Linked DNA regions of Saccharomyces cerevisiae S288C. Each later gene encodes a partner of the first gene's protein in a complex. Each region holds a gene or a part of one and is shown in the gene's direction. Other genes may lie near its edges. The genes, in order: LEM3, DRS2, DNF1 and DNF3.

What was found.
Region 2: LEM3 (region 1) and DRS2 share a complex: the UniProt entries of both Saccharomyces cerevisiae proteins name them as parts of the flippase complex.
Region 3: the proteins of LEM3 (region 1) and DNF1 are in contact, whole or in part, in a cryo-EM structure (PDB 7WHV), measured with the Saccharomyces cerevisiae proteins. Residues at the interface, in NP_014076.1 of Saccharomyces cerevisiae: Asn50 (codon at 1,697), Arg51 (codon at 1,700), Arg52 (codon at 1,703), Pro53 (codon at 1,706), Lys54 (codon at 1,709), Glu55 (codon at 1,712), Phe58 (codon at 1,721), Thr59 (codon at 1,724), Gln60 (codon at 1,727), Gln61 (codon at 1,730), Arg62 (codon at 1,733), Leu63 (codon at 1,736), Ala64 (codon at 1,739), Ala65 (codon at 1,742), Ile66 (codon at 1,745), Asn67 (codon at 1,748), Pro68 (codon at 1,751), Val69 (codon at 1,754), Leu70 (codon at 1,757), Thr71 (codon at 1,760), Pro72 (codon at 1,763), Val75 (codon at 1,772), Leu78 (codon at 1,781), Tyr79 (codon at 1,784), Ile82 (codon at 1,793), Phe86 (codon at 1,805), Ile93 (codon at 1,826), Glu102 (codon at 1,853), Tyr174 (codon at 2,069), Asn176 (codon at 2,075); in NP_011093.3 of Saccharomyces cerevisiae: Ile234 (codon at 3,588), Thr238 (codon at 3,600), Asn239 (codon at 3,603), Tyr574 (codon at 4,608), Gly579 (codon at 4,623), Arg580 (codon at 4,626), Ser581 (codon at 4,629), Ser584 (codon at 4,638), Tyr585 (codon at 4,641), Glu586 (codon at 4,644), Phe587 (codon at 4,647), Val604 (codon at 4,698), Phe631 (codon at 4,779), Tyr633 (codon at 4,785), Gly634 (codon at 4,788), Asp635 (codon at 4,791), Val636 (codon at 4,794), Leu637 (codon at 4,797), Tyr639 (codon at 4,803), Asp644 (codon at 4,818), Pro646 (codon at 4,824), Arg1171 (codon at 6,399), His1176 (codon at 6,414), Trp1179 (codon at 6,423), Arg1183 (codon at 6,435), Tyr1205 (codon at 6,501), Tyr1208 (codon at 6,510), Asn1209 (codon at 6,513), Asp1210 (codon at 6,516), Asp1212 (codon at 6,522).
Region 4: LEM3 (region 1) and DNF3 share a complex: the UniProt entries of both Saccharomyces cerevisiae proteins name them as parts of the flippase complex.

What each region holds. Positions count from the first base shown.
Region 1 is NC_001146.8:30,395-35,579, forward strand, and holds LEM3 (Lem3p), read left to right. Parts: upstream 1-1,549; coding exon 1,550-2,794; downstream 2,795-5,185. Other genes in the region: FIG4 (phosphatidylinositol-3,5-bisphosphate 5-phosphatase), read right to left, coding at 1-984; KRE1 (Kre1p), read right to left, coding at 2,900-3,841; VNX1 (calcium/hydrogen antiporter), read left to right, coding at 4,302-5,185. UniProt on the Saccharomyces cerevisiae protein: Accessory component of a P4-ATPase flippase complex which catalyzes the hydrolysis of ATP coupled to the transport of glucosylceramide, phosphatidylcholine, phosphatidylethanolamine, and small amounts of phosphatidylserine from the lumenal to the cytosolic leaflet of the cell membrane and ensures the maintenance of asymmetric distribution of phospholipids.
Region 2 is NC_001133.9:93,239-101,346, reverse strand, and holds DRS2 (aminophospholipid-translocating P4-type ATPase DRS2), read left to right. Parts: upstream 1-1,649; coding exon 1,650-5,717; downstream 5,718-8,108. Other genes in the region: ribosome biosynthesis protein MAK16, read left to right, coding at 202-1,122; DNA-binding protein SAW1, read right to left, coding at 5,875-6,660; FRT2 (Frt2p), read right to left, coding at 6,861-8,108. UniProt on the Saccharomyces cerevisiae protein: Catalytic component of a P4-ATPase flippase complex which catalyzes the hydrolysis of ATP coupled to the transport of phosphatidylserine and small amounts of ethanolamine from the lumen to the cytosolic leaflet of the trans-Golgi network and ensures the maintenance of asymmetric distribution of phospholipids.
Region 3 is NC_001137.3:509,856-518,493, forward strand, and holds DNF1 (aminophospholipid-translocating P4-type ATPase DNF1), read left to right. Parts: upstream 1-2,888; coding exon 2,889-7,604; downstream 7,605-8,638. Other genes in the region: PAB1 (polyadenylate-binding protein), read left to right, coding at 518-2,251; BCK2 (Bck2p), read left to right, coding at 8,361-8,638. UniProt on the Saccharomyces cerevisiae protein: Catalytic component of a P4-ATPase flippase complex which catalyzes the hydrolysis of ATP coupled to the transport of glucosylceramide, phosphatidylcholine, phosphatidylethanolamine, and small amounts of phosphatidylserine from the lumenal to the cytosolic leaflet of the cell membrane and ensures the maintenance of asymmetric distribution of phospholipids.
Region 4 is NC_001145.3:577,439-586,584, reverse strand, and holds DNF3 (aminophospholipid-translocating P4-type ATPase DNF3), read left to right. Parts: upstream 1-2,663; coding exon 2,664-7,634; downstream 7,635-9,146. Other genes in the region: INP2 (Inp2p), read left to right, coding at 197-2,314; type I HSP40 co-chaperone HLJ1, read right to left, coding at 8,193-8,867; CVM1 (Cvm1p), read right to left, coding at 9,069-9,146. UniProt on the Saccharomyces cerevisiae protein: Catalytic component of a P4-ATPase flippase complex which catalyzes the hydrolysis of ATP coupled to the transport of phosphatidylcholine and small amounts of phosphatidylethanolamine from the lumen to the cytosolic leaflet of the trans-Golgi network and ensures the maintenance of asymmetric distribution of phospholipids.

The sequences.
Region 1 (5,185 bases):
GGGGATTGAGCCACGATGCTGTACAAAAGAAGTGTATCGATCACTATCAAAAAATCCATTTCCCGGTTGATGGAATGGAGTCAAAATCATATCTGTTACAATCTGTTCAGTTTCGACTTCGTTAGCAACATGACCTTTATTGTTAACACCACGCTTTAGAAAGCGTGCACCAGCAAAATGGTGGGATCTTCTTGCGATTAAAGTAATATATATGGACTTACCCAAAACTGAAACATTAACCTGGTCAATAAATCCATGTATAATGCATTGGAACCAATCAAAAACAGTGTCAATACAAGCAAAAATAGGAGATAATAAATTGTTATTCCAAACAAACATTTCGTTATAGTCGGTTATCCCGCAAGGTATTGTAATATCACATCGGTCAACCGCTTTTAATTTCTCTCGCAATATATTGGTTTGTAAAGTATTTGTGATATCGTAGGTATAACTGAAATAAAAGGTTTTTGTTAGGTCTAAATCCTTAAATATATTCAATAGCCTTGCCTCATCTGAACTTTTTTCAGGTTTTTTATAGTTGTTCGTAATAGGAATAATATCAATACCATCAATGTGATAAATACCATGACCGCCAATCACTGCAACTTGGCTATACTTGGTAACCATTATTAAATAGTACCAACAGGTGAATTTAATGAATCCCAGAAGACCGTATCCTGTAATTTTCTTATGTAGACCATCTTCAGTTGCTTCTTCTAAACTTGCTAGTACATTCATGATTTCATTTCTGGTGAAGAAGACATTATCCTCCAACACAGTTAATTCTCCACGGGGTACAGTAAGATCAATTTCTAGAATACGAAACATGGTTTCCCTTTTATTGCTTCCAACAATATACATTCGATCTTTGGTTTCGTATAACGTATATTTACCCATTACAAACTTAGAGGTCTTTCTCTGCTTAGACCCAGATGTGGTAAGTATACCTCCACCAAGGGTATGCTCCATTGCATCATTGTTCATCCTTGTCCTGTTTCTTTTTTGCTTTGCGTTACGTTACTACGTTTCAAAACTAATTAATTTCAAATAATATCACAGCATTTACATTTCAATAGTGCTCGGCTAAGTAGATGAGGACTATCGTAAAGAGACCAATAGAAGAGCTTGAAAACTTTACAAGAAATATATACATGTATATATTATATATATATGTTTAATGCAATTGCAAGAGGTATTAACAAATCAGGAGGACAAGTAAATGAACGTGCTGCAATAAACCCAAATGGCGTAACGAGTGTAGTGCGCCTTAGTGACCACCGCAAGATAGTGCCAGTAACTAGTGTACAAGTGTGGCAAAATGCAAATGAGCGTTCTGGTAGTATGTGTCCAATGTTGTAGTGTCAACTTTGTCTGCCGTTCTGGTGGCTTTTGACAGTTGATTTTCCAACGATTATTATTATGCGCGAAATTAAAGAAAAGGAATCTTGTATGATGATAAAATAAATAGATCAAATTAAATCATCAGTACAGACCAGAAAACAATTAAGTGTCCTTTTAGAAATACGAGAGGGTGGTAAAATATTGAAGAATGGTAAATTTCGATTTGGGCCAAGTTGGTGAAGTATTCCGTAGAAAGGACAAAGGAGCTATAGTGTCCGGAGACAACCCAGAAGAAGAAGAAGACGTCGATGCTTCTGAGTTTGAAGAGGATGAAGTAAAGCCTGTGCGTACAAAGAACAGAAGACCCAAAGAGGATGCATTCACTCAACAAAGATTAGCGGCTATAAACCCGGTGTTAACGCCGAGGACAGTTTTGCCTCTTTATCTGTTAATTGCTGTTGTATTTGTTATTGTAGGAGGGTGCATATTAGCACAGAACTCCAAAGTGGATGAAGTAACCATATATTACCAGGACTGTATGACTAACGCAACCTCATCATGGAGCGACATCCCTTCTGAACATTGGCAATTTGTATTTCACAAATATAAAACATATAATACTGCACCACAATGGAGGTTTGTGGATGATGAATCAGATGACTTCACAAAACAAAGAGGTACATGCCAAATCAGGTTCACTACTCCAAGTGATATGAAAAATAACGTATATTTGAATTATGTGCTGGAAAAATTTGCTGCCAATCACAGAAGATATGTACTATCTTTTAGCGAAGATCAGATACGTGGGGAGGACGCCTCTTATGAGACGGTGCATGATGCAACCGGTATAAATTGTAAGCCACTATCTAAGAACGCCGATGGTAAAATATACTATCCATGTGGCCTAATTGCGAACTCAATGTTCAACGACACGTTCCCCCTGCAGTTAACAAATGTAGGGGATACGTCTAACAACTATTCATTGACAAATAAAGGAATCAATTGGGAATCTGATAAAAAAAGGTACAAAAAAACCAAATACAATTATACACAGATAGCACCTCCACCATATTGGGAAAAGATGTATCCAGATGGATACAACGAGACGAATATTCCTGATATTCAGGATTGGGAAGAGTTCCAAAACTGGATGAGGCCAGGTGCTTTTGATAAAATTACAAAACTGATCAGAATCAATAAAAACGATACTTTGCCAGCGGGTGAATACCAGTTGGATATCGGTCTGCATTGGCCAGTATTGGAGTTTAATGGTAAGAAGGGAATCTACTTGACTCACGGTTCTCACCTTGGCGGTAGAAATCCATTTTTAGGTATAGTTTACCTGATTGGAGGCTGTATTTGTGCTGCCATGGCATTGATATTATTAACGTTTTGGCTCTTCGGCGGTAGAAAGATTGCTGATGCATCAAGTTTGTCATGGAATATGAAATAGAAAAGGAGTGATGGTTTTCTTTATTTTTAACCCTGTAAAATTTTTTTATTTTTTTATTTTTACTCTTATATATGTATATGTTTGTGTTTATTTCTGAATAAAAATTTATAAGAACCAAATTAAAACCGTTAATAGCCCACCCAAAATTGAAGTAAACGAACTCATACCTAGATGCTGGGCCTCATTATGCGAAACTGTTTTCTTTATTGCAGATTTAATAACGCCTACAGTACCGGTTAAAGTACCCATCCCAATAGACCCCACGGAGGGAGAAGCGACTGTTACGTACTGGGAGGAGAAACGCTGGACAAAAGTAGTTTGCACAGTGATAGTGTTGCCCTGTCTAACAACAGTGACCCACATGGACGTTGGCGCACGTGTGGTTGTGTAAGTGGAGGTTGTACCTTCAGTGATGGTAATGTATGAGTCAATAGATAGACTAGTGACAGCAGACACAGGAGGTTCTGTGAAGTCTGTGGAGGGGTCTGGCCTGGTGCCTGTTTCAGCTACTGCGCTCCCTGTCGATGTGGTCGTCTTTACACTGGAGGATGAACCAGACGAAGATACAGACGAGGACACAGACGAGGAGGCGGATGAAGTAGCACTGGTGCTAGAATGTGTGAACGTTTGAGTCAATGTAACTGTGGTACCCAAATCGTTTGTCGTGGTAACTGTAGATAAATACAGTCCCGAAGACAACGATGAAGTTGCGGTAGGAACAGTGGTGGTTGTCTTACCAGTAGATGAGGTAGAAGTCGTCGTGGTTGGTAGCATAGTGGCTCTGTTGACTGTCTGAGTAAGAGTGACGGTGGTTCCGACATCGTTAGTGGTAGTGAATACCGTAGTGAAGAAACCTGTTTGAGCGGTAGTTGTAGCAGCAGCAGCAGCGGTGGCAGGGTCCCATATTGTGGTCTCCGTAACCAGGGCCCCTGCGACATTTGTTACCACTGTAACCTGAGTTGTCACAGCTGCCATGACCGCAGCTGACCACAACGACAAAGAAAGTAGCAGCGTAGCGAATGAATGTAATAGCGTGCGACGCATCATTTTTTTTTTGATTGTCTTGCAGAAGTTGAAGAGGTCTTTACTGTAGCATATACAAGTGCTTAATTCTTGATTTTTATTTTCTTTTTTTCATAATACACGTTATAGAAAAAGCCCCATTCTCAGTTTATGAAAAAACGCGATATCACCATACACGCTGAGGTAGGGGGATACAAGGTGAAGAATGTACGCAATAAGGCGAAGTATATGGCACAATTGAGCAGTAAAAGTGTTAAAATATAGTGATATATATATATAAAATACGAGAGTACCAACTATTATGATCTTTTAATGCCCTCTTTCCGTTGAGATATTCATAATAGTAACCGTCACGGAACTGTCGCTTTATACGGTGAGGGGATTATTTAGTTCCTAATTTATATTAGATAAAGAAGATAATAAACATGAGGGATGCTGTAAATGAAAGTGAAATAACTGCTAGCTAGAAGAGCGGTAAGCAGCAATGGCCAAAAATAACCACATTTCTGCCAGTGGTAACAGTACCTCTGGAGACCATCGTCTTAAAGAGGAGGTTCTGACCCCAACTACATCTGCCTCGACTCCTCATAGAATATTTAGCGTGGACGATGATCCAAAGGAGATCCAAAACGATATCAGGTATCTTGAGGGTCTGCATGAAGGGTTGAAGTTCGCCCTGCATGCCAATAAATCCAAGCGATCTGTAAGCTCGCAATCACCAATCGTACATAGCAGCAACAACACGCTGCACCACCACGAGCACCAACAACACTTGCCGCCCACACTAGAGTCGCTATCCTCCAAGTCGCACTCTGTGCCAGACTTAAATACAGCTACTCCCAGCTCTCCGAAACGAATGCATTCATCTATCCGGGAATTACCTCATGATGACAATGATGACGAGGACGCCAATGATGACAGTCGGTTCATTATACACGACTCGCACGGCCATGATTTACTTATAGACGAGATCAATTGCCAGTCGCCTTCACACTTGGAAAACAATGACCAGGCGTCTAATGCTTCGTCCACAGAGTCATTCACTTTACGAGAAAGACAGGACGCCATCAACGAGACCCACCCCTTCGGTATCAGGATATGGAAGCCTGCTTTATATAAGAAACACCGTTCAGTTCAAAGAACCGCGGCGCAAGACATTCACGAGACTCAGTTGAAGACTATTACCTGGGAGGTGACTTGTTCCAATGTGCTATGGTTTATTTTGTTCGGTTTCCCCATTGCGATACTCTTCTACTCGGCGGCTATTGTGGTATTTTTACTAGGCGGCGGAGGACTGGTAACGAACTCTGCGAAGGAGTACTCCAAGTGTCTGTATAAACTCGCCAATTATTTCCTTTGGCCTTTTGG
Region 2 (8,108 bases), on another chromosome or scaffold:
CATTATGTTCAGATTATCAAAATGCAGTAGGGTAATAAACCTTTTTTTTTTTTTTTTTTTTTTTTGAAAAATTTTCCGATGAGCTTTTGAAAAAAAATGAAAAAGTGATTGGTATAGAGGCAGATATTGCATTGCTTAGTTCTTTCTTTTGACAGTGTTCTCTTCAGTACATAACTACAACGGTTAGAATACAACGAGGATATGTCCGACGAAATTGTTTGGCAAGTGATTAATCAAAGTTTCTGCTCTCATAGAATTAAGGCACCTAATGGTCAAAATTTTTGCAGAAATGAGTATAACGTCACTGGGTTGTGTACAAGGCAATCATGCCCACTTGCCAACTCCAAGTATGCAACAGTGAAGTGTGACAATGGGAAACTGTACTTGTATATGAAGACGCCTGAAAGAGCGCACACTCCTGCCAAGTTATGGGAAAGAATCAAACTATCCAAAAATTACACGAAGGCTTTACAACAGATCGACGAACACCTACTACATTGGAGCAAGTTTTTCCGTCATAAGTGTAAACAGAGATTTACAAAATTGACGCAGGTCATGATAACAGAGAGACGTTTAGCATTAAGGGAGGAGGAGAGACACTACGTTGGTGTAGCACCAAAGGTCAAAAGAAGAGAACAAAACAGGGAGAGAAAGGCATTGGTAGCTGCCAAGATTGAAAAAGCCATCGAAAAAGAATTGATGGACAGATTAAAGAGTGGTGCTTACGGTGATAAACCATTAAATGTTGACGAAAAGGTCTGGAAGAAGATAATGGGTCAAATGGAAGAGGAGAATTCTCAGGACGAGGAAGAAGACTGGGATGAAGAAGAGGAAAGTGATGATGGGGAAGTTGAATACGTTGCAGATGATGGCGAAGGTGAATACGTTGACGTGGATGACTTAGAAAAGTGGTTAGCTGACTCTGACAGAGAAGCTTCCAGCGCCAGTGAAAGCGAAAGCGACAGTGAAAGCGAGAGCGACAGCGATAGTGATGAAGAAAATAAGAATTCAGCCAAGAGACGTAAGAAGGGAACTAGTGCCAAAACTAAACGTCCTAAAGTCGAAATCGAATACGAGGAGGAACACGAAGTTCAAAATGCTGAGCAAGAAGTGGCACAATAAGCTCACGCACTATACTACGCAACATTACATGATTTCAGTTTCTATTATTGAATGAACAGGATTTTTCCACGTGGATTGGGCAGCGCACTGTACCATAATAACAACCAGTTATAAAATATTTCAATTCTTTTACATATATAAAAATACATAAAGACTATTATTTTTGTAAGATGGCCCATTCTGTAACACTTAAATTTCTTATCAAAAAAAAAAAAAATAATACCTTTAGTAGCTGTTGGGCTAATAACATTGCAAATTAGAAGCTTACTATTAGAAGCTTACTATTACGGGATTATTGAGGTAAAGGTTATTTGAAGCGTAAATCACTGAAATCTTCCTGATCACGTGATTGGCTTTTTTTGCCAGAAAACCCAAATCTGTTTAATGCCACTAAGTTGAAGAAACATATAATCAACAATTGTTGGCAATTCTAAGGGGAATAGTGCAACAAGAAGCCAGTAACGCCAAATAGAGGTTAGCGCCAAGCAATAATTTACTGGTAGGTTCTTTCATTCCCTGATTTTACCATGAATGACGACAGAGAAACCCCCCCAAAGAGGAAACCTGGGGAGGACGACACGCTTTTCGATATTGACTTCTTAGACGACACGACTTCTCATTCTGGATCCCGTTCAAAGGTCACCAACTCACATGCGAACGCGAATTATATACCACCAAGTCATGTACTTCCCGAAGAGACTATCGACTTAGACGCTGATGATGATAACATTGAAAATGATGTCCATGAAAATCTATTTATGAGCAATAACCATGACGACCAAACGTCTTGGAATGCCAATAGATTCGACTCAGATGCATATCAACCACAATCCCTACGAGCAGTCAAGCCTCCCGGTTTATTTGCTAGGTTTGGTAATGGTCTCAAAAATGCCTTTACGTTCAAACGGAAGAAAGGGCCCGAAAGTTTCGAAATGAATCATTACAATGCGGTGACTAATAACGAATTAGACGATAATTATCTAGACTCGAGGAATAAGTTCAACATTAAAATTCTTTTCAACCGGTACATTTTAAGAAAGAACGTTGGCGACGCAGAGGGCAATGGTGAACCAAGAGTCATCCACATCAACGATTCTCTCGCTAATTCCTCCTTCGGTTATAGTGACAACCATATATCTACCACCAAGTATAATTTTGCGACCTTTCTGCCTAAATTTTTGTTCCAAGAATTTTCCAAATACGCTAATCTGTTTTTTTTATGTACATCTGCCATTCAACAGGTGCCTCACGTCTCGCCAACTAATAGATACACCACAATTGGTACTTTATTAGTGGTTTTGATTGTTTCTGCCATGAAGGAATGTATCGAAGATATCAAGAGAGCTAATTCTGATAAAGAATTAAATAATTCGACAGCAGAAATATTTTCAGAAGCACATGATGACTTTGTTGAGAAACGATGGATTGATATTCGTGTAGGTGACATAATTAGAGTAAAATCAGAGGAACCTATTCCTGCTGATACCATAATTTTGTCATCTTCGGAACCGGAGGGTCTTTGCTACATTGAAACTGCCAACTTGGATGGTGAAACAAATTTGAAAATCAAACAGTCGAGAGTAGAAACTGCCAAATTTATAGACGTTAAAACTTTGAAGAACATGAACGGAAAAGTTGTTTCCGAACAGCCGAACTCTAGCTTGTATACTTATGAAGGTACAATGACTTTAAATGATCGTCAAATACCGTTATCTCCTGACCAAATGATTTTAAGAGGTGCAACTTTAAGAAATACTGCATGGATATTTGGTTTAGTTATCTTCACTGGTCATGAAACTAAGTTATTGCGTAATGCTACTGCAACCCCAATTAAAAGAACCGCGGTTGAGAAAATTATCAACAGACAGATTATTGCATTGTTCACAGTTTTAATCGTGCTAATTTTAATTTCTTCAATTGGTAATGTTATTATGTCTACTGCAGATGCCAAACATTTATCGTACCTTTACCTGGAGGGTACCAACAAGGCTGGCTTATTCTTCAAAGACTTTTTAACATTTTGGATTCTATTTTCGAATCTAGTTCCTATTTCTCTATTTGTCACCGTTGAATTAATCAAATATTATCAGGCTTTTATGATAGGTTCAGATCTAGATTTGTACTACGAAAAAACTGATACCCCAACTGTGGTTCGTACATCCTCTTTGGTTGAAGAACTTGGTCAAATAGAATATATATTCAGTGACAAGACAGGAACTTTAACAAGAAATATTATGGAATTTAAATCCTGCTCTATTGCAGGCCATTGCTATATTGATAAAATACCTGAAGATAAAACGGCCACTGTTGAAGATGGGATTGAAGTTGGTTATAGAAAATTTGACGATTTGAAGAAAAAGTTAAATGATCCCTCTGATGAGGATTCACCTATTATCAATGACTTCTTAACATTACTGGCTACCTGTCATACTGTCATTCCAGAATTTCAAAGCGATGGATCTATTAAATATCAAGCAGCCTCTCCAGATGAAGGTGCCCTCGTTCAAGGTGGTGCAGATTTAGGGTATAAGTTTATCATCCGTAAACCAAACTCTGTAACTGTTTTATTGGAGGAAACTGGCGAGGAAAAAGAGTATCAACTACTTAACATTTGTGAATTTAATTCCACCAGGAAGAGAATGAGCGCTATATTTAGATTTCCGGATGGTTCGATAAAGTTATTCTGTAAAGGTGCTGATACTGTCATTCTGGAAAGATTGGATGATGAAGCTAATCAATATGTAGAAGCTACAATGAGACATTTAGAAGATTATGCATCTGAGGGTTTGCGGACGTTGTGTTTGGCGATGAGAGATATCTCTGAAGGAGAATATGAAGAATGGAATAGCATTTATAATGAGGCTGCCACAACATTAGATAACAGAGCCGAGAAGCTAGACGAAGCCGCAAATCTAATCGAGAAAAATCTAATATTAATTGGTGCAACTGCTATTGAAGATAAGTTACAGGACGGTGTTCCAGAAACTATCCACACATTACAAGAAGCGGGTATTAAAATTTGGGTTTTAACTGGTGACAGACAGGAAACTGCTATTAACATTGGTATGAGTTGCCGTTTATTGAGTGAAGACATGAATTTGTTGATCATCAACGAGGAAACCAGAGATGATACTGAGAGAAATTTGTTAGAGAAGATTAACGCTCTAAACGAGCATCAATTGTCAACACATGATATGAATACCTTAGCGCTCGTCATTGATGGGAAGTCATTAGGCTTTGCCTTGGAACCAGAATTAGAAGATTATTTGCTAACTGTGGCGAAGCTTTGTAAAGCGGTTATATGTTGCCGTGTATCTCCACTACAGAAAGCCTTGGTTGTTAAAATGGTAAAAAGAAAGTCGTCTTCACTACTGCTAGCCATTGGCGATGGTGCCAACGATGTTAGTATGATACAGGCAGCTCATGTTGGTGTCGGTATTAGTGGTATGGAAGGTATGCAAGCGGCTCGTTCAGCTGATATAGCTGTTGGCCAATTTAAATTTTTAAAAAAACTATTACTTGTCCATGGCTCCTGGTCTTATCAAAGAATTTCTGTCGCAATTTTGTACTCTTTTTACAAGAATACAGCATTATACATGACGCAGTTTTGGTACGTTTTTGCCAATGCCTTTTCAGGTCAATCCATTATGGAATCATGGACAATGAGTTTCTACAACTTATTCTTCACTGTTTGGCCCCCTTTTGTCATTGGTGTATTTGATCAATTTGTTAGTAGTAGATTACTTGAGCGGTACCCACAATTGTACAAATTAGGACAGAAGGGTCAATTTTTCTCTGTTTACATCTTCTGGGGATGGATTATTAATGGCTTTTTCCATTCTGCAATAGTATTTATTGGCACCATATTGATTTACAGATATGGGTTTGCCTTAAATATGCACGGCGAACTAGCTGATCATTGGTCTTGGGGTGTAACTGTCTACACTACAAGTGTCATTATTGTTTTGGGAAAGGCTGCTTTGGTAACTAATCAATGGACGAAATTCACCTTAATTGCCATTCCTGGTTCCCTCTTATTTTGGTTAATATTCTTCCCAATTTATGCTTCTATATTTCCTCATGCTAACATCTCAAGAGAGTATTATGGTGTGGTTAAACACACGTATGGATCCGGTGTATTTTGGTTAACTTTGATCGTTTTACCAATTTTTGCACTGGTAAGAGATTTTCTATGGAAGTACTATAAAAGAATGTATGAACCAGAAACGTATCATGTTATTCAAGAAATGCAGAAATACAATATCAGCGACTCTAGGCCGCACGTTCAGCAATTTCAAAATGCCATCAGGAAGGTGAGGCAAGTGCAAAGAATGAAAAAACAAAGAGGATTTGCCTTTTCACAGGCTGAAGAGGGTGGGCAAGAAAAAATTGTCAGAATGTATGATACTACTCAAAAGAGAGGTAAGTACGGTGAATTACAAGATGCTTCGGCGAACCCCTTTAATGACAATAATGGACTGGGAAGTAACGACTTTGAAAGTGCAGAACCGTTCATTGAAAATCCATTTGCTGATGGTAATCAAAATTCAAATAGATTCAGTTCTTCGAGAGATGATATTTCATTTGATATATGAGGCACAGAAACAAAGAGCAGAAGACAAAAAATACAAAAATAAAAATAAGATAAAAAGAAAAGTCATTATTACCATTACTGAAATATGTACATTTACCATAAAATATATCCGTTATATAGAAGTTATAATATTAAGCCATCACTTTGTTATCGGTTTTTCATTCCTCCTGGGGTTGCTTCGACTGGGTACGTACCTTATGTCTTCTAGGCCTATGCAACACATGTACATCAATAATTTCACCTAAATTAATAACAGGCTTGTACATAAATTCTATTACAGGTTTTATATCCTCTTCCACCGGTGTATCCAGGGCATCAGCGTCCCCATTTTCTATTAACAAATTAGGTACCTGGGGCTGTTTTTCTATTTTCCTAGCTAATAACGTTTTGGGTCCTGCATTTAATGAGAAACCGTTTAATGTTAATGTTTGAAACATCAAATAGTGCCTTAAATTGGCGATCTTCTTAATGCTGTTGATGAATATGTCGAGCTCCCACTTATGTTTGTAGTGCAACTTGTATTTGAATTTAGCCAGCCTTGTCACAGACTGGATGTGAGAAGTTACCGCATTATCCGTATCGGCACCTGCAAAAAGTTTGGGCAGAACGTTGATTTGGAAATCAGTAGAATGACCAACTCTTATTTTGCTGAGTACGGAACTGATGATTTCCGGGGACGCTAGTTCGTAAACAATCAATAACAGGTCCTCCTTGATCTCGTCACAAAGATTCTTCTTATCTTGTTGCGATAAATATATTCTTGTATTTGGTGATTTTAAGCAGATTATGGAGTTATTTGATAATAATGGTGCTTCAAATATAGTGGCATTCGACTTATTGCTAGTCTTATCATTGGTTTGAAGGATCTGCTTTCTATTGACAAATATACGTAATGGCAAAACCATGTCCCTGGCTATCTTTACCGTTGCTATACTTGGTGCCATTTTTCACGGTTACTGTGAAGTCCAATATACTCAATCTTCTTGTATTCTTCCCTTTCAGGCCTGTCCTTTTCTATTTCATTGCCCTTTTTTCCACTCATCTTTCCACTTGATTAAAAATACCAGAAGAAGCACATTTTTACATTTATACGTTACATATGAAAAAATCACAGGATCATTTTTTGATATACAAATACTATTTTTTATTTATGCGATACTAGATGCTTGAAGGTATAGCATATGACGATGATGATAATTAAAAAGACAATATCAAGGGCCTCGTTGCGGTATTTAGATGCGAATGTTACATTTTTTTTGGATATCATTAAGGAATTCTCCAAAGACAATAAACTTTCCATTTTCCTCATTACTTCCTTCCTAGAGGCCAACCTGTCTTTGCAAGAAGCCATTCTTTTCTCTAAATCTTGTAATTTTGCCACGTTTGTATTTATTGTATCACTCAAACGTGCCTCAAATGATTCGGGGTTTTCCTTGTCAAAATCCTGTTTCAAATTCATTAAATAATCCTCTTCAACAAGCTCTTTCCATCCAATGGTCCTGGATCTTAAGTCCCTTAGCTCTTTAACGATCTTGTCAAAATTTGCAATGTTTTTAACAAGGTCATTTTCATCTTTCAGAACCTCATCTTTCAAACTGTGCTTTAGTAAAGCTTCTGTCTGCTGTAACTGCAATCCGATATGACGCTGATAGTAGTCTAATTCATCTGAATTTAGCGAAAGATTCGAACTACTATATGTGATATTTCCAGGAGGTTCAAGAGGATCAACAGCCACTGACTGTGAGAATGACGTCGATGATGAAGACGATGAAGAAGAAGACAACGAAGATGAGGACGACTGCGAAAACGATGCATTGCAGGCGTCTTTTGGCGAAAGCCCAATGGGATTAGCAACGGCAGGAGAGGATTCGGAAGCTACAGAGGGCGGTCTTGAGGGCGAAACATGTTTCTTTGGTGAGCTTTCAAGATCATGGTAAAGCAAGCTCTGTAACGATATATCTGTCTGCGTGCTAGAACTCCCGTCTGATGAATGCGAATGATGTGTGGGTCGCTTGGAAGGCTTAGATATAACATTGGGCAATATTGGATCGAAAGCCGGCGCCAGTGCAGACGAATCCTTAGATTGCCCAGACGAAGAAGGCTCCATGGATTTCAAAAACCGGTGAACCAACCTTTTCTTGTCCTTCACGAAGGACCGGGAAGGTGATTTAAGACCGTACTTGTCGTTGTCTTTGTAATGGCGATGGGCTGGGTGCTGCTGGGCTTGCAACATCTTAAATGAGGGAAAATGGTCTTTGGCAGAGTATCCACCATCGAGAGGCTTTGATTCTACACTATGCTGCGGGAATGGTCCTTTAAAGGTGGCGACTACGTTAAATGGGTGTTTTGGCGAGAGTCCAGAAGACTTCATCGTACTGAGACTTCGTACTTT
Region 3 (8,638 bases), on another chromosome or scaffold:
TTTATGTATATATATTTGCGTGTAAGTGTGTGTACTATAGGGCACCGTAAAGTAATAATGCTTAATTAGTTACTACTATGACCATATAAGAGGTCATACTGTATGAAGCCACAAAGCAGATAGATCAATCATGTTTAACGAAAACTGTTAATCGAAGATTATTTCTTTTTTTTTTTCTCTTTCCTTTTTACAAAGAAAATTTTTTTTGCGCTTTTTGCCATCACCATCGCAAGTTCTGGGACAATTGTTCTCTTTCGCTCCAGTTCCAAGGAAAGAGGTTTCTGTTTTACTTAATAGAAAGTGTCATCTTGTATTTTATATCTCTTCTTTCTTGTGTAAAATTCTTTAGTTTTGATTTTGTATTTTTAGGACAGTGAGCTACGAAGTAACATTTTTACTTAATAACCGTTTGAAGCATAGAGCAGGCCCTGGTACCACCACCTAATATCTGGCTTTTTATTCAATAAAAACTCAAAAAAAAAAATCCAAAAAAAACTAAAAAACCAATAAAAATAAAATGGCTGATATTACTGATAAGACAGCTGAACAATTGGAAAACTTGAATATTCAAGATGACCAAAAGCAAGCCGCCACTGGTTCAGAAAGCCAATCTGTTGAAAACTCTTCTGCATCATTATATGTTGGTGACTTAGAACCTTCTGTTTCCGAAGCCCACTTATATGATATCTTCTCTCCAATCGGTTCAGTCTCCTCCATTCGTGTCTGTCGTGATGCCATCACTAAGACCTCTTTGGGCTATGCTTATGTTAACTTTAACGACCATGAAGCCGGCAGAAAAGCAATTGAGCAATTGAACTACACTCCAATCAAGGGTAGATTATGCCGTATTATGTGGTCTCAACGTGACCCATCATTGAGAAAGAAGGGTTCTGGTAACATCTTTATCAAGAACTTGCACCCTGATATTGACAACAAGGCTTTGTATGACACTTTCTCTGTGTTTGGTGACATCTTGTCCAGCAAGATTGCCACCGACGAAAACGGAAAATCCAAGGGTTTTGGGTTTGTTCACTTCGAAGAAGAAGGTGCTGCCAAGGAAGCTATTGATGCTTTGAATGGTATGCTGTTGAACGGTCAAGAAATTTATGTTGCTCCTCACTTGTCCAGAAAGGAACGTGACTCTCAATTGGAAGAGACTAAGGCACATTACACTAACCTTTATGTGAAAAACATCAACTCCGAAACTACTGACGAACAATTCCAAGAATTGTTTGCCAAATTTGGTCCAATTGTTTCTGCCTCTTTGGAAAAGGATGCTGATGGAAAATTGAAGGGTTTCGGGTTTGTTAACTACGAAAAGCATGAAGACGCTGTGAAAGCTGTTGAAGCTTTGAATGACTCTGAACTAAATGGAGAAAAGTTATACGTTGGTCGTGCCCAAAAGAAGAATGAACGTATGCATGTCTTGAAGAAGCAATACGAAGCTTACAGATTGGAAAAAATGGCCAAGTACCAAGGTGTTAATTTGTTTGTTAAGAACTTAGATGACAGCGTTGATGACGAAAAGTTGGAAGAAGAATTTGCTCCATATGGTACTATCACTTCTGCAAAGGTTATGAGAACCGAAAACGGTAAGTCTAAGGGTTTTGGTTTTGTTTGTTTCTCAACTCCAGAGGAAGCTACTAAGGCCATTACAGAAAAGAACCAACAAATTGTTGCTGGTAAGCCATTATACGTTGCCATTGCTCAAAGAAAAGACGTAAGACGTTCTCAATTGGCTCAACAAATCCAAGCCAGAAATCAAATGAGATACCAGCAAGCTACTGCTGCCGCTGCCGCCGCCGCTGCCGGTATGCCAGGTCAATTCATGCCTCCAATGTTCTATGGTGTTATGCCACCAAGAGGTGTTCCATTCAACGGTCCAAACCCACAACAAATGAACCCAATGGGCGGTATGCCAAAGAACGGCATGCCACCTCAATTTAGAAATGGTCCGGTTTACGGCGTCCCCCCACAAGGTGGTTTCCCAAGAAATGCCAACGATAACAACCAATTTTATCAACAAAAGCAAAGACAAGCTTTGGGTGAACAATTATACAAGAAGGTTTCTGCTAAGACTTCAAATGAAGAAGCAGCTGGTAAAATTACTGGTATGATTTTGGATTTGCCACCTCAAGAGGTCTTCCCATTGTTGGAAAGTGATGAATTGTTCGAACAACACTACAAAGAAGCTTCTGCTGCCTATGAGTCTTTCAAAAAGGAGCAAGAACAACAAACTGAGCAAGCTTAATGCTCTATGTAATCACCTACTTCCCTACTCAACAAACTTATCATCTTTTTTTTCTCCCTTCCCTTTTTTTTTTGTCTTAAATACTAGTTATTATCCTTTGTAACCTAAATACTCGCTCTTATTGACAAAATGCAAACGTTTTTTGTTTTTAACTGTCAAGAGAAGTATCATTTTACTATTATTAGACTTCATTACTGAGTTTATTAGTTGCGTTTTTTTGAGGTCTCATTATTAACGGCAGAATGTTAGTTTTCGCGGAAAATAAACAAAATAGCACGGAAAAAAGACCAACAGGTTCCAGGAAAATACTAATTTACAAAAAATTGACAAATCAAGTGAGGGTACCTTGCTATTCATCACCGCATTCAACTAACTGGAGGTACAAAGCTGATAAAATTTCACAGAGCAAAGTCTCACTTAGCTTTTACTTTATGAAATTTGACCTTTAATAACCGAAGGTCATCGTAATACGCAACTCAGACAGTTTTAAGTGGATTTTTAGGGTCGCAATTAAAAACACTCAAAAATTAACCGGAGGTTGAGCAAGGGAAAGCAACCGTAACAGAAATCCTTTATTTCCTCCTGGAAGTGAAATAAAAACGCAGTTAACTTTAAAAAGGAAAGTTAGTTGATAATTATGTCTGGAACTTTTCATGGCGATGGGCATGCTCCCATGTCGCCCTTTGAAGATACATTTCAATTTGAAGATAATAGCAGTAATGAAGATACACATATTGCACCTACCCATTTTGATGATGGTGCAACAAGCAACAAATACAGCCGGCCACAGGTCAGCTTCAATGATGAAACACCCAAAAATAAACGTGAAGATGCAGAAGAATTCACATTTAACGATGACACAGAATATGACAATCATTCCTTTCAGCCAACACCGAAACTTAATAATGGATCTGGGACGTTTGATGATGTGGAATTAGACAATGATAGTGGTGAACCGCACACTAACTACGATGGTATGAAAAGATTCCGGATGGGTACAAAAAGGAATAAAAAAGGAAACCCAATAATGGGAAGATCTAAGACCTTGAAATGGGCTAGGAAGAACATTCCAAACCCATTTGAAGACTTTACGAAGGATGATATTGACCCTGGTGCCATAAATCGTGCGCAAGAACTAAGGACTGTGTATTACAATATGCCCTTACCAAAAGATATGATAGATGAAGAAGGCAACCCCATTATGCAGTATCCTCGTAATAAAATCAGAACTACCAAATATACCCCGTTAACATTCTTACCAAAAAACATTCTATTTCAGTTTCATAATTTCGCCAACGTTTATTTCTTAGTTTTAATAATTTTAGGTGCATTTCAAATTTTTGGTGTCACGAACCCTGGTTTAAGTGCGGTTCCGTTAGTTGTCATTGTTATAATCACTGCGATCAAGGATGCTATTGAAGACTCAAGAAGAACCGTCCTAGATTTAGAGGTGAATAATACCAAGACACATATTTTAGAAGGTGTTGAGAACGAAAATGTCTCAACCGATAATATTTCATTGTGGAGAAGGTTTAAGAAAGCAAACTCTAGACTCCTTTTCAAGTTTATACAATATTGTAAAGAACATTTAACTGAAGAGGGCAAAAAGAAGAGAATGCAGAGAAAGCGTCATGAACTAAGAGTACAAAAAACTGTTGGAACGAGTGGACCCAGATCCTCTCTAGACTCCATTGACAGTTACAGAGTATCTGCAGATTATGGCCGTCCTTCATTGGATTATGATAATTTGGAACAAGGGGCCGGTGAAGCCAATATAGTTGATAGATCCCTACCACCCAGAACTGATTGTAAATTTGCCAAGAATTATTGGAAAGGTGTCAAGGTTGGTGATATTGTTCGTATCCATAACAATGATGAAATCCCTGCTGACATTATCTTACTTTCAACGTCGGATACAGATGGTGCCTGCTACGTAGAAACTAAAAATTTGGATGGTGAAACAAACTTAAAGGTACGCCAATCCTTGAAGTGTACCAATACTATAAGAACGTCAAAAGATATTGCTAGAACAAAATTCTGGATCGAAAGTGAAGGGCCCCACTCAAATTTGTACACTTATCAAGGTAATATGAAATGGAGAAATCTTGCAGATGGCGAGATACGAAATGAGCCAATTACTATTAATAACGTTCTGCTTCGTGGTTGCACTCTTAGAAATACTAAGTGGGCAATGGGTGTTGTAATGTTTACCGGTGGTGACACAAAAATCATGTTAAACTCTGGCATTACACCCACCAAGAAGTCCAGGATTTCAAGAGAACTAAACTTCTCTGTGGTGATAAATTTCGTGCTACTTTTCATCTTATGTTTTGTTTCTGGTATTGCAAATGGTGTATATTACGACAAAAAAGGCAGATCACGGTTTTCCTATGAATTTGGAACAATTGCTGGGTCAGCGGCGACAAACGGTTTCGTCTCATTTTGGGTTGCTGTTATTCTTTACCAATCTTTAGTCCCAATCTCTTTGTACATTTCTGTGGAGATCATCAAAACTGCACAAGCGGCCTTCATTTACGGAGACGTTTTACTCTACAATGCCAAATTGGATTATCCTTGTACACCAAAATCCTGGAATATTTCTGACGATTTAGGTCAAGTGGAATATATATTTTCTGATAAAACAGGTACATTAACTCAAAATGTAATGGAGTTTAAAAAATGTACTATCAATGGTGTTTCATATGGAAGAGCTTACACCGAAGCGTTAGCGGGATTAAGAAAAAGACAAGGTATCGACGTCGAAACCGAAGGTAGGCGTGAGAAGGCCGAAATTGCCAAGGATAGGGATACAATGATCGATGAACTGAGAGCTTTATCAGGAAATTCACAATTTTATCCCGAAGAAGTTACCTTTGTATCAAAGGAGTTCGTTCGCGATTTGAAAGGGGCTAGTGGTGAAGTACAACAAAGATGCTGTGAGCACTTTATGTTAGCATTAGCTTTATGTCACTCCGTCCTTGTAGAAGCAAACCCGGACAATCCAAAAAAACTGGATTTAAAAGCTCAATCTCCAGACGAAGCAGCGTTAGTAGCCACAGCTAGAGATGTAGGATTCAGTTTTGTTGGAAAAACCAAAAAAGGGTTGATAATTGAAATGCAAGGTATTCAAAAAGAATTTGAGATTCTAAATATTTTGGAGTTTAATTCATCGAGAAAAAGAATGTCCTGTATTGTCAAAATTCCGGGTCTGAACCCAGGGGACGAGCCTAGAGCACTTTTAATTTGTAAAGGTGCAGATTCCATTATATACTCAAGATTAAGTCGCCAGAGTGGTAGCAATAGTGAAGCTATTTTGGAAAAAACTGCTTTGCATTTAGAGCAGTACGCTACTGAAGGTTTAAGAACGTTATGCATAGCTCAAAGGGAGTTAAGTTGGTCTGAATACGAAAAATGGAACGAAAAGTACGATATTGCTGCTGCATCATTAGCAAACAGAGAGGATGAATTAGAAGTTGTTGCAGATTCCATTGAACGCGAATTGATATTATTGGGCGGTACAGCTATCGAAGATCGTTTACAAGATGGTGTTCCGGATTGTATAGAGTTGCTTGCAGAGGCAGGAATTAAATTATGGGTTCTTACGGGTGATAAAGTTGAAACAGCTATAAACATTGGATTTTCTTGCAACCTTTTGAATAATGAAATGGAATTGTTAGTTATTAAAACAACTGGTGATGACGTGAAAGAATTCGGATCAGAACCAAGTGAAATTGTGGATGCTTTACTCTCCAAATACTTGAAGGAGTATTTCAACTTAACCGGTTCAGAAGAAGAGATTTTTGAAGCTAAAAAGGATCACGAATTTCCGAAGGGTAATTACGCCATCGTTATCGATGGTGATGCTTTGAAATTGGCGCTATATGGTGAAGATATAAGAAGAAAGTTTCTTTTACTCTGCAAGAATTGTAGAGCTGTCTTATGCTGTAGAGTATCTCCATCTCAAAAAGCAGCCGTTGTTAAGTTAGTCAAGGATTCTCTAGATGTCATGACACTAGCCATCGGCGATGGTTCCAACGACGTCGCCATGATTCAATCTGCGGATGTTGGTATTGGTATTGCCGGTGAAGAAGGTCGACAAGCTGTTATGTGCTCAGACTACGCCATTGGACAATTCAGATATTTGGCTAGATTGGTCCTCGTTCACGGTAGGTGGTCTTATAAGAGACTGGCAGAAATGATTCCTGAGTTTTTTTACAAAAACATGATTTTTGCTTTGGCATTGTTCTGGTATGGTATCTATAATGATTTTGATGGGTCTTACCTGTATGAATACACATACATGATGTTCTATAATTTGGCATTTACATCCCTACCAGTCATCTTCTTAGGTATTCTGGACCAGGACGTGAATGACACAATATCATTAGTGGTCCCTCAGTTATACCGTGTTGGAATTTTAAGGAAAGAATGGAACCAAAGAAAGTTCTTATGGTATATGTTGGACGGATTATATCAGTCTATTATCTGTTTTTTTTTCCCTTACTTGGTTTATCACAAAAATATGATAGTTACGAGCAATGGGTTAGGATTGGATCATCGTTATTTTGTCGGTGTTTATGTGACCACTATTGCTGTAATTTCGTGTAACACATATGTTTTATTACACCAATATAGATGGGATTGGTTTAGTGGATTATTCATTGCACTGTCTTGCCTCGTAGTTTTTGCATGGACGGGAATATGGTCTTCTGCGATAGCTAGTAGAGAATTTTTCAAAGCTGCAGCGCGTATCTATGGAGCACCTTCATTTTGGGCTGTTTTCTTTGTTGCCGTGCTGTTCTGCTTACTGCCCCGTTTCACATATGACAGTTTTCAAAAATTTTTCTACCCAACTGATGTGGAAATAGTAAGAGAGATGTGGCAACATGGCCATTTCGATCATTATCCTCCTGGTTACGATCCAACAGATCCCAACAGACCCAAGGTCACAAAAGCTGGGCAACACGGAGAGAAGATTATAGAAGGCATAGCACTTTCCGACAACTTAGGAGGATCGAACTATTCAAGGGATAGTGTTGTCACAGAGGAGATTCCAATGACTTTCATGCACGGTGAAGATGGAAGTCCTAGCGGATATCAGAAGCAAGAAACCTGGATGACTTCACCCAAGGAAACACAAGATCTTCTTCAATCGCCCCAATTTCAGCAGGCCCAAACGTTCGGAAGAGGCCCATCAACCAACGTCAGGTCATCCTTGGACCGCACAAGAGAACAGATGATCGCCACTAACCAACTAGATAACCGCTACTCTGTGGAAAGAGCGAGAACATCTCTAGATCTACCAGGCGTAACTAACGCAGCCTCCTTAATCGGAACACAACAGAACAATTAATAATGATATCCGAACCATAGCTGATGGAACTCCGCTTTTCACTGTATATATAATATTACATAATATTACTGGATAAGCCTTAGAAGCCTTAGAAGCCTTAGAAGCCTTGGAATTCATGCATACTACAGCGTTAACTCTTTCTTTTAGCAAGTTTTAGTAGCGGACGTGTGGGTTTCTTTGTTCTATAATTAACACTCCCGGTTAACCCGGATCGCTATTATTCAAGGACGCACAATGGTGGGCTAATTTTTTCTTCCGATGGAAAACTGACGCCAGCACTTTCCAGCGCTGGGAACTCTCCACTAACTGGCAAAAAAATTGATTAAGGTCATGATCAAAGGAATTTTTGAAATGTTGTAAAGTAGAGTTAAGAATTAATCAAGCCGTGATACGTATGTTTTTGACTAGGTGAGAGACTATATTTATCAAAAATAGTTTTTTATACTAACAGAAAGTTTATTATATCATAGAAATCCTAGGCCTATTGTTATTATTTGCGTGAAAAAAGGTTCATGCCTAGTTATTCAGGATATTAATCAGGCATAGTCATAGTTTTGTAATACACGTCTTTCACTCCTATTTCCGGTTAACATTCGCTAATATCCATCAAATTATTGACTTTTTTTTCAGTGGATTTGTTGTTAATAAAGGAAACAATCAGATCAGCCATTTAGGGAAGTCTTTTAAGAAAGCTCAGAAGGAGATCTAAGACAAGAAGCAAGGCAGTCTTGATTTATCGCTCAAAACCAATAGCACATGCCGAAGAATAGTCACCACCATCGTTCCAGTTCGGTTAATTCCACAAAGAGTCGTTCTACGGAATCTACGAATAAATGGAAAATTCCGCACTATTATCGCAGATCCGCTAGCGGCAGCACACAAGCTTCGCCGGACAGGAACTCCTCAACAGGCTCATGTAGCACTCCAGTATTACCTACTATGAATGTTATGTCTAGCCCGAAAAAAGTTTTGCTAGAGGATCCCAGAGACAACCATACTAAGGCGAAGAAGAGTAGTAGAAAGAAATCAGGTGA
Region 4 (9,146 bases), on another chromosome or scaffold:
TGATCTGAAAATAAACTAAACATTCATCTTCACCCAATATCATAAATGATTAGGTGACTACCGGATACTAGACGGTTATAGGAGTTTTATCAAAGGTCAAAATCTCACCCCCTCAATAACTGCTCGGCATACCTCACGCTTATTGCAACAAGTTTGTTTTTACTTACTTGTGAAACGTTTGTTGATTAACTTAATAATGACAACAAACTCACGTCCATCCGCCTTGCAGGCTCCCGGTTTACAGATTTTTTCCATGCTGAAATCAAGCGAAGAGGATGGATTCATGAGTTCTAGTCTAACCCTTGATAGTGATAACATAATAGGTGTCACCGAGAACAATCGTCAAGAATTTTACTCTACGTGGCGAAAACCGTCCCTATTAAGCAGCCGCAGCGTATTACATGAATACTCCCCTACAATTGTGGGATCTAATGACTGTACTTTTTCACCTATAACCGTAGGAAAAACAACGAAGTTTTTTAATTGGGATGATATTATTTCAAGAATTTTCATGCAACAGCCATTCGGTGTAACACACCAATTCTTTGAAGAATTTCGGTATTCAATCATTACTTCTCATTTTTTGAATGATATGAATCATTACAGGTTATCACTACATCTTGATCAATCTATTATGAACTTTCATAAAAGCTCAACTTTGTTAAAGAATGTACCTCCCAAATCTGTACCATTTATGGCGACAAAATATGGTAAATTGGCGGTAGCAGAGGACAAAAAATTATATTTCAGACAAAATTTCAACTACCTTTCGATGATTATAACCTCTTATCGAGTACTTACACAGTTGAAAAAATACTGTAGAAAAAAAAATAGTCCAGGTCTGAAGAGAGTTGTAATTTTAATACTCGTAGCAGTGTATTTATCAATTCAGCAAGAATACTTTCGAAGACATTTGATTTGCTATAAAACCTTATTAAAGGTACGGAAAGTGCTCGAATCATTACAACAAGTGGATGTAATGATTCATAAATATCATCTTCGATTTAAAGAAATAAAAAATCATAGTTTTATATCAAGAGTGTCTCTTATTTCAATTGCTGACGAGCACTCATCTGTGATAAAAGAGCTCCTAGTATTCTCAAGTGATGCACTGTTTTATAAACTCAAATCAATCATTCCAGATATTGTCATCTTTAGCGATACAAGTGAGCTATCGAAATACTGTGAATTATACGGTATCGATGTACCAAATCTTTACTATAATAATACTACCACAGTAAAAGACCTTGATGGTAAGCTTTATCGTCTCAAACTGCTAAAGAAATTTATGCTCTGTTGTTTGCTGTCTTTAGATATGACAGGAAACGAAAATCTTTCAAATGTAAACATGAGAAACGCACTAAACAAAATCTTTCCAGATTACATGGCAAGGGTGCAACTCAAAAAAAAATATAATCCAATAGGTACATTCCAAAATATAGTTAGTCTATTAAGAGGATTACATTCACTACTCTCCACTGTCCTGGTGTCTTTGAATGACCATAAGCAAATATTGTATGCATTTCCTGAAGAAACATCAACTAATACTGGTTGTGAAAGAGCAAATGTATGTTCATTTTCAAAGAATGATAAATTGTTTCAGGCACTTAATTACTTAAAAATGATCGAGAACAATCTATTAGCTATTGACATTCGAAATGGCATAACAGAGAATGATAGGAACATCATTGAGGATAAGTTGGAGGAGCTCATTACTTTCTGGAAAACCTCGAAAATTTGTGGCAATATTTCTAGGATACAAAAGGTATCCCCAACCAATACAATCAACCATGGTTTCCATCTGGATATCCTCAAAGGCAGAAAGTCACCCCGTTCTTCGTCAGTACAAGGTCTTAGCTTAGAGAGGAAAGTTGACTTCATTGATGTTGCTGAATCGGTGAATGACTCTTTTGAAAACGACACCGAACTAGAGGAATATGAAGACTACGACTGTCAGGAGGAATGTTCTGCCGGTTCACGCCAAAATCACCGCGTAGATTTTATCGGAAAGGATAGTTGTAGGAAACCAGATTTCAAGCAACTTTCTGACAACGAATTACGACGCAAGTTAGATGAAAGAATTTTGAAATTGGCTCAAGAAAACCGTGAAGGCAGGGAAAGGCTAAGAACTGCAAAGTCCTTTGAATTGCTAAGAAAAGCTCAGGCTTCCATGTCCGTAAAGTTTGGCTTTCAAAAACCATTAAGAGACGATGCCTTTCTTGAGAGCAGGCCTCTCAGCAAATGCAAAGTATCTTCGGAAGAAACTATCCCATTTTTGTATGAATTAAAAGGATTACTAGGAAATGATTCATGATAATATATTTTAATATGTACTTTGAAATAACTAATTACACTTTAATCATATTTTCTAAATAAGCAAATGACGGGCTGCGCAGCCGGGTTATTTTCGACCCCAGTCTGTCAAGTGCTTTAAGTAAGCGAATATTTAACAAAGAAGAATTCAATATTGCAGGAAGTCTTGAGAAAAGATCAAGTGCCAAATTACCCCATTGCTTTTGGACTATTCATTCACTCTTTTCTTTTTTGTTATTTCTTTTATTTGACCTTTATCGTTATATACACATAGCTTCCATACAGCAAATAAACATCCTAATTGAAGTAGATAATTTAATTCCATTCTTTATTAAAAAGAAAAAAATATTATGGGCATAGCTGATGGGCAAAGAAGAAGATCTTCATCACTACGAACGCAGATGTTCAACAAGCATTTGTATGATAAATATCGCGGAAGAACTGATGATGAGATAGAGTTAGAAGATATAAATGAGAGTAAGACGTTCTCCGGTAGCGATAATAACGATAAAGATGACAGAGATGAAACAAGCGGCAATTATGCTGCTGAAGAGGATTATGAAATGGAAGAGTATGGTAGTCCTGATGTGTCATATAGCATTATCACTAAAATACTTGATACTATCCTAGATCGAAGGAGGACGTTCCATTCGAAAGACGGTAGACATATTCCGATTATATTAGATCATAATGCAATTGAATACAAACAAGCTGCTACTAAAAGGGATGGTCATTTGATAGACGAAAGGTTCAACAAGCCTTACTGCGACAACCGAATAACTTCATCAAGATATACATTCTATTCCTTTTTGCCTAGACAGTTGTATGCACAATTTTCAAAGTTAGCCAATACTTATTTTTTCATTGTCGCAGTATTACAAATGATACCTGGATGGTCTACAACTGGTACTTATACAACTATTATCCCCTTATGTGTATTTATGGGTATATCCATGACAAGAGAGGCTTGGGACGATTTCAGGAGACATCGTTTAGATAAGGAAGAGAACAATAAACCAGTGGGAGTGTTGGTTAAAGATGGAAATAATGACGCACAAGAAGTTTATACACTACCAAGTAGTGTTGTCTCATCCACTGCATATCTAACTAAATCGGCCGCTGCTGAAAATAATCCACCTTTAAACGATGATCGGAACTCCTCTCAAGGACACTTCTTAGACACGCACTTCAATAACTTTGAACTACTCAAGAATAAATACAATGTTCATATTCATCAAAAGAAGTGGGAAAAACTTCGTGTTGGAGACTTCGTACTTCTCACACAAGATGATTGGGTACCTGCAGATCTGCTTTTATTGACATGTGACGGCGAAAATAGCGAATGTTTCGTTGAAACGATGGCTTTAGATGGCGAAACAAATTTGAAAAGTAAACAACCCCATCCAGAATTAAATAAGTTAACCAAAGCCGCATCAGGTCTTGCAAATATTAATGCTCAAGTTACCGTGGAAGATCCCAATATTGATTTATATAATTTTGAAGGTAATCTTGAATTGAAAAACCATCGCAATGATACCATAATGAAATACCCTCTAGGTCCTGATAATGTCATTTATCGTGGTAGTATTTTGAGGAATACTCAAAATGTTGTTGGTATGGTCATTTTCAGTGGTGAGGAAACAAAAATCAGAATGAATGCTTTAAAAAACCCAAGAACGAAAGCCCCTAAGCTACAAAGGAAGATAAATATGATTATCGTGTTTATGGTGTTTGTCGTTGCCACAATATCTTTATTTTCTTATCTTGGCCATGTTTTGCATAAGAAAAAATATATCGACCAGAACAAAGCATGGTATCTATTTCAGGCAGATGCTGGCGTAGCACCCACAATAATGTCTTTTATCATCATGTATAACACTGTGATTCCTTTGTCCCTATATGTAACAATGGAAATTATCAAGGTAGTCCAAAGTAAAATGATGGAATGGGACATAGACATGTACCATGCAGAAACGAACACGCCATGCGAATCGAGAACTGCCACCATTCTGGAGGAATTGGGGCAAGTATCTTATATTTTTAGTGATAAAACCGGAACGCTGACGGATAATAAGATGATATTTCGGAAATTTTCTTTATGTGGATCATCTTGGCTGCATAATGTAGATCTCGGTAATTCTGAGGATAACTTTGAAGACAACAGAGACAATACGAACTCCTTGAGACTACCACCAAAAGCTCACAACGGCTCTAGTATAGACGTTGTTTCCATTGGAGATCAAAATGTTCTTGATCGGTTAGGATTTTCGGACGCACCAATTGAAAAAGGGCATCGTCCATCTTTGGACAACTTTCCTAAATCTAGGAATTCTATTGAATATAAGGGAAATTCATCAGCAATTTATACAGGCCGTCCCAGTATGAGATCACTTTTTGGGAAAGATAATTCACATCTAAGTAAACAAGCTTCGGTTATTTCACCCTCCGAGACATTTTCGGAGAACATTAAAAGTTCGTTTGATTTAATTCAGTTTATTCAAAGATATCCGACCGCCCTGTTTTCTCAAAAGGCTAAATTTTTCTTCTTATCATTAGCTCTTTGTCATAGCTGTCTTCCCAAAAAAACTCATAACGAATCAATAGGAGAAGACTCCATAGAGTATCAGTCTTCATCTCCAGATGAATTAGCACTAGTAACCGCTGCTAGAGACCTTGGTTATATTGTATTGAATAGAAATGCACAGATTTTGACCATTAAAACTTTTCCAGACGGTTTTGACGGTGAAGCAAAATTGGAAAATTATGAAATTTTGAACTATATTGACTTCAATTCTCAAAGAAAGAGAATGTCTGTTCTTGTACGTATGCCAAATCAACCAAATCAAGTTCTTTTAATTTGCAAAGGTGCTGATAACGTTATTATGGAGCGTTTACATGATCGCGAATTGGCTGCCAAAAAAATGGCAGACATATGCACCAGTACCAAAGAACGTAAAGACGCAGAAGCAGAGCTGGTTCTCCAGCAAAGAAAGTCTCTGGAAAGAATGGTAGATGAAGAGGCTATGGCCAGGACCTCATTGAGAAATTCTTTGTCTAGCGTACCGAGAGCAAGTTTATCATTGCAGGCAGTGAGAAAAAGTCTTTCAATGAAGAACAGCAGGACCCGTGATCCAGAGAAACAAATTGACTCCATTGATCAATTTCTAGAAACGGTCAAGAAATCTGATCAGGAGATTGGCAGCGTTGTAAATAAAAGCAGGAAGTCACTCCATAAGCAACAAATAGAAAAATATGGGCCGCGAATTTCGATAGATGGAACACATTTTCCGAACAACAATGTCCCAATAGACACAAGAAAAGAAGGACTACAGCATGATTACGATACAGAAATTTTGGAGCACATTGGAAGCGATGAGTTAATTTTGAATGAAGAGTATGTTATTGAAAGAACTTTGCAAGCCATCGATGAGTTTTCGACTGAAGGCTTAAGAACTCTGGTCTATGCTTACAAATGGATCGATATTGGGCAGTATGAAAATTGGAATAAACGCTATCACCAAGCCAAAACCTCCCTTACTGATAGAAAAATCAAAGTCGATGAGGCAGGTGCAGAAATCGAGGATGGTTTAAATCTGTTAGGGGTAACTGCAATCGAAGACAAGTTACAAGACGGCGTTTCAGAAGCTATAGAAAAGATCAGAAGAGCCGGTATAAAAATGTGGATGCTAACAGGGGATAAAAGGGAAACGGCTATAAATATAGGGTATTCGTGTATGTTAATCAAAGATTATTCTACGGTAGTCATTTTAACTACTACTGATGAAAATATTATATCAAAGATGAATGCGGTTTCTCAAGAAGTTGATTCCGGAAACATAGCACACTGCGTTGTTGTAATTGACGGTGCCACGATGGCCATGTTTGAAGGAAATCCTACATACATGTCTGTATTTGTTGAGCTTTGCACTAAAACAGACTCGGTAATATGTTGCCGTGCTTCACCTTCTCAAAAAGCCCTTATGGTTTCCAACATAAGAAATACCGATCCAAACTTAGTCACGTTGGCAATAGGTGATGGTGCGAATGATATTGCCATGATACAATCTGCCGATATAGGTGTTGGAATAGCCGGTAAGGAGGGATTGCAAGCATCTAGAGTATCTGATTATTCTATTGGCCAATTTCGGTTTCTCTTGAAATTGTTATTTGTTCATGGGCGTTATAACTATATTCGCACCTCCAAGTTTATGCTTTGCACGTTTTACAAAGAAATTACGTTTTACTTTACGCAGTTGATATATCAAAGATATACAATGTTTTCAGGCTCCTCTCTATATGAGCCATGGTCATTGTCCATGTTCAATACTCTATTCACATCACTACCGGTTCTATGTATTGGTATGTTTGAGAAAGACTTGAAACCAATGACTCTACTAACAGTCCCTGAATTATATTCGTACGGGCGCCTTTCACAAGGTTTTAATTGGTTAATATTCATGGAGTGGGTTATCTTGGCAACTACGAATTCTCTTATCATTACATTTTTAAATGTTGTAATGTGGGGTATGAGTTCTCTTTCAGATAACACTATGTATCCTCTAGGTCTCATCAATTTCACAGCCATTGTTGCCTTAATTAACGTTAAATCCCAATTTGTTGAAATGCACAATAGGAATTGGCTGGCTTTTACTTCTGTAGTTCTATCCTGTGGAGGTTGGTTAGTGTGGTGTTGTGCCCTTCCTATTTTGAATAATACTGACCAAATATATGATGTAGCATATGGCTTTTACAATCATTTTGGTAAAGACATTACATTCTGGTGTACTAGCTTGGTGTTGGCACTGTTACCTATCACTTTAGATATAGTTTACAAAACATTCAAAGTTATGATATGGCCATCAGATTCTGATATTTTTGCTGAGCTGGAACAAAAAAGTGATATCAGAAAGAAGCTGGAACTAGGAGCCTATAGCGAAATGAGGCAAGGATGGACGTGGGATAAAGATCCCAGTACTTTCACAAGGTACACAGACAAAGTTCTTTCAAGGCCAAGAACTAATTCACGTGCAAGTGCAAAAACTCATAACAGCAGCATATATTCAATGTCAAATGGGAATGTAGACCATTCCTCAAAAAAAAATTTCTTTGGAAACTCTTCTAAAAAGAGCTCTGAACGATACGAGGTATTACCTAGTGGCAAGTTAATCAAGCGACCATCCTTGAAAACACAAAGCAGTAAAGACAGTATTGGCGGCAATATAACTACTAAACTGACGAAGAAACTGAAGCTTCCATCGAGGAATGTGGAAGATGAAGATGTGAACCAGATTATTCAGGCAAGGCTAAAGGATCTGGAGTAATTCTCGTGATCTTGTTTAATTACATTATTGAGAACATTTTTATATATATACCTTTTATTGGAAATTAGTAGCGAGCTTAGAAGACTTACTTGATTTGTTGAGTCGAATATTATTTCGGCATCCACACATTAGAAAATTAACAAGATGTATTTTGAGAGAAAGCAAGGCACAACGCATGGGAAATCTTCACAAATTTTAAATACTATCTATAAACTAACTCTAATTATAAAAGTGGCTTGATTACTTTCGGTGTCAAAAGAAAAAGTAAATGTATGGCGTAAATGCTATGATTAGTTATCAGAAAATAAAGATGTTTATAAGTATTATACTGTCTGATTTAATTTCCTCGATATATTAAAATTCTAATACCATTATGTCCTTCTGGTAAACTGTGGAACAAAATAAAACATAGCCAGGAAGCCTGAAGGAATGACCTAAATGTCATCTAGTATACAAATGCGTTTTTTCAATTTTGCTTGCTCCTTGTAGTTTTATTTTATAGTACAACTTTGACTAACGTTGGAAAATAATAAAAAAATGACAGTAAAAATATTGTGTTTAACTAAACAGGTAATCTTTAATCATAGGAAGAACAATAAAGATGATGAAAAGAACGAGCATATTTTTTAATTGCGAATTCACTGCATTTTCTTCTGCTTGTTGTTGCTGCTGTCTTGAGCGGGGTTGTTGACGCATGAACGGTGAGCCACCACGATTATTAGTATAAACTCTGAAACCACCGGGGCCTCCAAATGAAAAAGTGGAAGCAGAAGGCCCAAATGGTGAAGCGCCGAATGGGCTGCCGCCTGCGTTGAACAAAAAGTCGAATATGTCCTCTGGTGGTCCAGCTCTTTGACCACCGAAACGTGAATTGAAAAACATGTCTTCAAATCCGCCACCCATTGGAGACCCACCTGCACTTCCTCGGAACCCTGAAGCAGCACCTCTGGATGGCATTTGTCTATCGTCAGGATCCCTACCTATCCTGTCATAAATACTGCGCTTTTCCTCATTGCTTAGTACTTCAAATGCCCTATTAATTACTTTGAAAGCTTCTCCCGCTTTTGGATGAGAGTTTTTATCAGGATGCAATTTGATTGCTAGTTTTCTGTATGCCTTCTTGATCTCACTATCTGTGGCTTTCCTATCTACCTTCAAAATTTCGTAAAACTCATGCTTGTCTTTTGACAGTATTTCTAGCGCGATTTTTTCTTGATCCTCAGTGAAAGACATGTTCTTCCTATTATAGACCTTCCACAAGTTATATTGCAGAAACAGCGTTGCTGCTATTATGGCTTCTGGAAGTAGAGGTGTATGAAAAGAACTTCTGCCAGCTTCCTTTATGTTCTTCACGAATACTTTCCAGCCTACTCTGCGGGTTACCCACTATACAAATACCATAATATGTTACGCGGTCCGCTATATACGAATCTACTATGTACGTCGAACATCATTAATCAAGTTTTTGGGGTTGTCATACATGGCTAAAACGCTCAGGATATCACGTAGGTG